Linked DNA regions of Macaca fascicularis. The protein of the gene in region 1 interacts with the protein of each later gene in a pairwise test. Links are inferred from orthologs where the notes say so. Each region holds a gene or a part of one and is shown on either strand. Other genes may lie near its edges. The genes, in order: DAPP1 and FXN.

Evidence for each region.
Region 2: the proteins of DAPP1 (region 1) and FXN interact in binary tests that used the Homo sapiens proteins (3 or more experiments, as listed by UniProt). The link is inferred for Macaca fascicularis from reciprocal best matches to the Homo sapiens genes DAPP1 and FXN.

Annotation. Positions count from the first base shown.
Region 1 is NC_088379.1:105,454,823-105,458,741, forward strand, and holds the start of DAPP1 (dual adapter for phosphotyrosine and 3-phosphotyrosine and 3-phosphoinositide), read left to right. Parts: upstream 1-1,633; 5' UTR 1,634-1,700; coding exon 1,701-1,801; intron 1,802-3,919. UniProt on the Homo sapiens protein: May act as a B-cell-associated adapter that regulates B-cell antigen receptor (BCR)-signaling downstream of PI3K.
Region 2 is NC_088389.1:99,778,855-99,782,673, forward strand, and holds part of FXN (frataxin, mitochondrial), read left to right. Parts: intron 1-2,602; coding exon 2,603-2,723; intron 2,724-3,819.

The DNA.
Region 1 (3,919 bases):
TACTAAAACACCAAATAAAGGGCTCTAGAAAGGGAACAGGAACTCTAGTGCACAGGCTGTTCCCCTGTCGCTGCTGTGTGCATATTCAGTATCTCCCTGGCCTGCACTGGCCTCTCTGTTTGAGTGGGCCCTGTCCTCCTCTGTGAACAAACTGTAGCCAAAAGAATTGTAAGTGCTCATTTAGTCAGTTACATATGTATTATCAGAGCTTAGTCTTCAGCAGACTCCTCTAGACACTCGGGAATTTCTCACTGGCAACCAGCGTTACCCAGGGTCTCACAGTGGTAATAGGGAGGAACATGAAGGATAGAACCGTGTGAGGTGAACAGCAGCCTCTTGCAATCATCTAGTCCTTTAGGAACAGCTCTGCTGTGCTGCTAGTCCTCAGGCCTCTGTAACTGTGAGAACAAGTTACAGAGCACCCTGGTGAGTGCTGAGTGAGTCAGGGAGTAGAGATAAGAAGAAATAGAGAGAAAGCGAGAGGGAGAGAGAGACCTGTAGGTACACAGAAAAGGCAGGAAGCAACGTATGTCCTTGACTCATTTGATACTGCACTTTGTCCTACTTCCCAAGGATTCAGTCACCGCCATTTACCTTTAGCATTGCAGGCAGATAGAATCCCCCTCTACATATGAATCTGGGCACAAAGCCATGCAGGTGTGAGTAAGCCCATGAAGAAAGTGGCGCTCAAAGACTCCAGGAGTTCAGGCCAGGCACAGTGGCTCATGCCTGTAAGCCCAGCACTTTGGGAGGGTGAGATGGGTGGATCACCTGAGGGTGAAACCCCATCTCTACAAAAATACAAAAATTAGCTGAGCATGATGGTGGGTGCCTGTAATCCCAGCTACTTGGGAGGCTGAGACAGGAGAATCACCTGAACCCCGGGAGGCGGAGGTTGTAGTGATCTCAGATCACGCCATTGCACTCCAGACTGGGTGACAGAGCGAGACTCTGTCTCAAAAAAAAAAAAAAAAAAAAAAAAAAGAAGAAAAAAAAGACTGCAAGAGTTCTAATATGCCCCATTAGGTGGGCACCAGAATGGCCCCTTGTAACTTTTTCCTACCTTCTTCTCTCCTAATTCTTCCATGGAGGAAACAATAATTATCTCTGAATCATCCCTATTCAGAGAATCGAGGATATATTAGAAGATCTGGGTAAACAAGCACAAATATTACAAAAGTACTAAAACAGCAAACTTCAGGGTTGAACTTGTGGTTTGCTTCTGTTTTTTCTACCCACTCTAAAGGTGTTCCTGATATAGAAGCTTCCTCAGTGTTCCCTGTGTTGGTGTGTAAGACAGAAAGAAGATTGGTAAAAGAGTGCACTCATCCTCCCCTACAAACCAGAGGCTGATCGCATTAGGGAAAAGCTAGGGTTTGGCCTCACACAAGCAGTTTGCACTGTTGTCCAATCCCAGGTGGGGTGACCGCCTCTTCATTTCCTTTGATAGCAACTGCCTGTTGCGTGATGCAGTGTGGGTGTCCTCAGAGGTAACTACCTAAGTTTGCATACTTCCTCACTGACAGAACACTCCTGCCAGTGCCTCCAGGCCAGGGTGGTGGTATTGGTGGGAGGAGTAAGTAACCAAGTTTCACTTCCTTGCCTTGGAGACTCAGAGCCACAGCGGGCTGCTGTCTCACAGAGGGAGAGGGTGGCAGGAGCAGCCGAGTTGTCTCTCTCTGCCTCTGTGAAGGGCGCGAATGGGCAGAGCAGAACTTCTAGAAGGGAAGATGAGCACCCAGGATCCCTCAGATCTGTGGAGCAGATCCGATGGAGAAGCTGAGCTGCTGCAGGACTTGGGGTAAGGGAGCAGATCTCCTTTCAAAGTGCCTAGTGGGTGGACATTGACTCCGCACTCCCACCTTCATGCTTTGGTTAATGACTATCTTCAGAGCCTTGTTGCCCTCTGCCACTTCAACTGTTTATTTTTTTCCACTTTATTCATTTGTATCTGTTAAGTATCTTCCTGTTTGGGGCTAATTCCATTGCAAAAGCCTGCATTATTTTTCTAGATGTGAAAACAAGTAGGTTGAGAAAATAGAGAAAAAAATCAAATGCTGGACATTCTTTGAGAAGAGGGACAGAATTGGGATATAGAGGTGACGTTGCCTGACTTCCTTGATGTTGCTCTGGTTTGTGAATAAATGTGTTGTTCAAGAGTTTCCAGCACTGACCCAGGGACAGTAAAAGGACCATGTTGCTGGTAAGATAAACAGAAAGCCTACCCTACTGTAAGGGAGGGGGACTTTTTCAAAATATAGAGAATGAGGAAGTTTCTGCAGTAGTCTCGCTTGTATGTTTCTTTCTCCTGATACTGCATTTGGGAGTTTTATATTTTATGTATGTCCAGAGGGCCAACTTTGAGCCTTTAAATACCAACAATCCACGAAGAGGATAAAATTTCTTCTTCAAACAGGTAAGCATAGGTAGGTGGAGTCATTGGAGCTCTGTCTTTGAGAAGTGACCCAGATGACAACTCATCCGGGTATTTAATAAAAGAAGCAAGTATTACACAAGAGAGGAATTGGGGGTTTCCTAGAGAAACTGAACCTTCTGCCTAATGCACTGGGAATATCCCAATGAGGGTGGCTTTGGCACCTGTGCATGAGGAGAGGTAAAACCTGTACCTTCTGCCTGAGTAAATAGCTCTAAATCTTCATAACAATCCAATGACATGGGAGCTGTTGTCATCTTCATCTTACAAAGGATGAAAACAAGCACCAAACAGGTTTGAATAACTTGCTTGCTAGTCACACATCAATTACATAGCAAAGCTGGGCATCCAACCTGCCACGGGTTATGTCCTAAACCGAAGAAAAACCAAAATAGAATTGAAACCTCTCTGTGTTAACGCTGCAGAGATTGTATCTTTTTATGTTGTATTGCTGTAAAAGTTTATCAGTAATTCCTGTCTTTAGATTATAAAACTGAGGTCTTGGAATTGAACTCTACTTTCATTTGGCGAATCAGATAAAACAACTGGAATTTTCATTAAAGAAAACTCCCCTTATTAGGAAGCCAGAGCTCTAGAATCTCTCTATCCCTCTAGAATGAATCCCCAAACAGAAGAGGCAAAGGGCCCTTCTGTGAGCATCCAGCACAGTTTTCACCAAGTCCAAATGCTGAGGCTGAACTGTGGCCCGCAGTGCCTTATTGAACCATTAAGCTACAACGCTTTACATGTTCTGTTAACTGATTCCCAGCCCACTGTAATAGAAAACCCCGAAGGAGGAGACAGAAGAATTTATTCAATTCTGATCGTTTAGTTAAACAAACAATCCTAGAACCCAGAGTCCGTGGTTGAGTACTGTGGGAACACGCTTAGATGACAAAGATGAATTAGATGCTGTCTCTGTGCCCCACCACGATGCCAATAGCAAGAAGCAACTACAGGTGAACCCCATGGGGGAAATAGGACTGTGGACTGTGTCTTTCTTCCATGTGCAAAGAATCGACATTGAATACAAAACCGAGTCACACCACTTCCCTGCAAAAAAAGGATATATTCATGTCCAGATTTCCCTATTTCAGAAGGCCTGAACAATTATTAAACATGAGGATGATTTCTATAGCAATGGGCAACCTGCAGGCATCTGGGAAAACTGCTCTACAGTCCAGGTTCTTGACCTTGGCTGTGCTCTGGAACAACCCAATGAGCTTTTTCTTTCTTTAAAAAAAAAAAAAAAAACAAAAACAAACAAACAAACAAAAAACACTCCTGACACCCAAACCACAGACTTGACAAATGATTTCAGTATCTCTGAGGGTGGGCGTTTTCTTGTCAAACTCTCCAAGTAATTCCAAAGTGAGACCCTAGGTTGATGATCACTGCATAGAATATGTATCCACCAAATGCATTAGGTAAATGTCTTATTTTTCGTTTTAAGTCTGTTGGGTATGTACTTGAATCTTAAAAGTA
Region 2 (3,819 bases), on another chromosome or scaffold:
GTCTCAGCCTCCCAAGCAGCTGGAGACTATAGGCGGGCACTACAAGCCCAGCTAATTTTTGTATTTTTAGTAGAGACAGGGTTTCACCATATTGTTCAGGCTGGTCTTGAACTCCTCACCTCAGGTGATCCGCCTGCCTCAGCCTCCCAGAGTGCTGGGATTACAGGCGTGAGCCACCACACCAGGCCCAGAATTACCATTAAAATTCAAAACACCGAACATACTCATTTAACCACAAGCCAGTCTTAGGTAAATCAGGACTGCCCAACAAACATATTCTGTCAGTCATTCATGATCTGAATTCTGGTTTATGAGGTCTGTTAAATGATGGTACACATAAAAGGGTCATAAGACATTTCTGTTTTGTAATAAATAAGACAGTGGATAATTATTATTCATTAGTAGCTTTTTTGAGATAAGCTACCAAGTCTGTCTTTTCTGCCTTCTTCTTAATGCTGGCAAAGATCATTTTTGTTCCAGGGATGTACTTCTTGGGATTCTCCAAATACTCCATCAGTGTGTCCTCTCCCCAGGTGATGCCTTTGTTCTTATTGGCGTCTGTGTAAGGGAATCCAACGGCCTGACCTGTCTTCTGCCCAAAAAGACAGACCATGGAGATTTGGCTCAGTTTTGTGCTTGCCCCCTTTTCCATAGTGTGGCACTGGGCATACTTCTGAACAAAAATCTTTCCCAACATCACCCGCATTAAATTCTCTCTTTCATCACTGGTGCTATGAGGGTTCCCGCCCTTTTACATTTTAACCATTCTGGTGGCATCTCACTGTGATTTTTTAATTTCCATTTTCCTGAAGATTAACAAAGTTGAACACCTTTTTATGTGTTCATTGGGCATTTGGGTATCTTTTATTTATGAAATCTATTCAAGTATTTTGCCCATTTTTATTTCTGTTGATTTTTCTTTTTCTTATTTATTTGTAGGTCTTCTTTTTTTTTTTTTTTCTTTGAGACAGAGTTTCACTCACTCTGTCACCCAGGGTAGAGTAGAGGGGGCAGTGGCGCGATCTCAGCTCACTGCAACCCCCGCCTCCCGGGTTCAAGTGATTCTCCTGCCTCAGGCCCCCGAGTAGCTGGGATTACAGGCACCTGCCACTACGCCCGGCTAATTTTTGCATTTTTAGTAGAGATGGAGTTTCACCATGTTGGCCAGGCTGATCTCGAACTCCTGACCTCAAGTGATCCACTCACCTCATCCATCCAAAGTGCTGGGATTACAGGCGTGAGCCACTGCGCCCAGCCGGTGTTCTTTATATATTCTGGATGAATCATTTTTCAGATGTATGTAATATGAATATTTTCTCCCACTTTGTGATTTGCCCAACAAAATTTTGGGCAAAAGCAAAATTTTAATAACAAAAGCAATGGAAGCATCCTTCATGTCCAGCTAAAGAGGACTGGGTAAATAACATAAAATTAAATATTATAAAAATCCATAGGTGCTAATATAGAACAATTTCTAAGACATAATTAAGTGAAAAAATGCAAATTTCTAAGACACAATTAAGTGAAAAAATGCAAAATGCTTCATTTGTATATTAAAAAGAATATGCAGATAGAAGGATACAGAAAAGACTTTTTTTTTTTTTTCTGAGACAGCCTCGCTCTGTCACCCAGGCTGGAGTACAGTGGCACGATGTCAGCTCACTGCAACTTCTGCCTCCTGGTTTCAAGCAATTCTTGTGCCTCACCATCACGAGTAGCTGGAACTACAAGGTCACGCCACCACACACAGCTAATTTATTATTATTATTATTATACTGTAAGTTCTGTGATACATGTGCAGAATGTGCAGGTTTATTACATAGATAAACGTGTGCCATGGTAGTTTGCTGCACCCATCAACCCGTCGTCTAGGCTTTAAGCCTCTCATGCATTAGATATTTGTCCTAATGTTCTCCCTCCCCTTGCCTCCCACCCCCCCGACAGGCCCCAGTGTATGATGTTCCCCTCCCTGTGTCCATGTGTTCTCATTGTTCAACTCCCACTTATGAGTGAGAACATGTGGTGTTTGGTTTTCTGTTCATGTGTTAGTTTGCTGAGAATGATGATTTCCAGCTTCATCCATGCCCCTGCAAAGGACATGATAATTTTTGTATTTTTAATAGATACAGGGTTTCGCCATATTGACCTGGCTAGTTTCGAACTCTTGACCTCAGGTGAGCCACCCACCTCGGCCTTCCAAAGTGCTGGGATTACAGGCATGAGCCACCTTGCCACCTGGCCCAGAAAGGACTATTATTTGTAGCTGCTTCTGGGAATGGGGGCTGCCTGCTTCTTTCTGTAACCCCTTCCGTGCTGTTTAAATTTTTACTTTGGGCCAGGCATGGTGCCTCACACCTGTAATCCTAACATTTCAAGAGGCCGAGGCATGTGGCTCACTTGATATCAGGAGTTTAGACCAGATACTGCACTCCAGCCTGGGTGACAGAGTGAGACTCCATCTAGAAAAAAAAAGGACAAACTTTTACTTTGTACATGTTATTTTCATCAGTTTAATGAACTTAAATAACAAGTGTGTAAATTTGGTATTAGTAGAATGGAAGTGTTTGGTAATCGTGTTTTGGGTTTTGTGTTTCCCCTGCAGCTCTCTAGATGACACCACCTATGAAAGACTAGCAGAGGAAACGCTGGACTCTTTAGCAGAGTTTTTTGAAGACCTTGCAGACAAGCCATACACCTTTGAGGACTATGATGTTTCCTTTGGGGTACCTCTTGACTTCTTTTATTTTTCTGTTTCCCCCTCTAAGAATTTTAGTTCACTAAAATGAAGAATTCCCCTGCAGCAGAGCTAAGCATCACGTAGCATGGAGTTGTGGGTGGGATTAAAAGACTAGGGCTCCGGGAGGCGGAGGTTGCAGTGAGCCGAAATCACGCCACTGCACTCCAGCCTGGGCTGCAAAGCGAGACTCCGTCTCAAATAAATAAATAAATAGATAAGACTAGGCTTCAAGCTGCAGCCCAGCTCTGCCAGGCTTGTTGTGACCCTGGGCAAGTCACTCAGCCTCTCTGAGCCTCATTTTCCGGCTTCAGTGGATACCCATGAAGACAAATCAGAGAGGGGCCAGAATGTGTGTTTGTTCGGCAGGCAGATGGAGCAAACAACAAACTAGACCTACAGTTCTTCAGCAGGGGTAAGAGAACTGCCCAGAAGTTATTCAGATTACAGAGAGTTGAGCCCTGCTCCTGTGAGACAGTGATGGGGTAGGTCGGGTGCATTCCTGAGAAGCATATTTTTGAAAAGCTCACCTGGGATTCTAATGTGTCTCTCTAGGTCTTGTTCCTAGAGATTTTGATTACTTGGACTGGGGTGTGGCATGGCCTGGGCAGGGCACTGGAATTTTTAAGCTCCACAGATAATTCCAGTGTGCAGCTAGTATGAGAACTTGCTTTTTTTTTTTTTTTTTTTTTTTTGAGGGAGTCTCACTCTGTCGCCCAGACTGGAGTGCAGTAGCGCAATCTCGGGTCACTGTGACCTCCGCTTCCTGGGTTCAGGCAATTCTCCTGCCTCAGCCTCCCGAGTAGCTGGGATTACAGGCATCTGCCACCATGCCCGGCTACTTTTTGTATTTTAGTAAAGATGGGGTTTCACCATGTTGGTTAGGCTGGTCTTGATCTCCTGACCTCAAATGGTCCACCCCCCTCAGCCTTCCAAAGTGTTGGGATTACAGGCATGAGCCACCAGATCAGGCTTGGTGTGAGAACTTCTGAGTTGGATGAAACATTAGCCCCAGATCCTAGAAGCCAGGGAAGTGCTGGTCTTTATCGACTGGCCACCAGGTGGCAGATTTGGGCAAGGGTCTG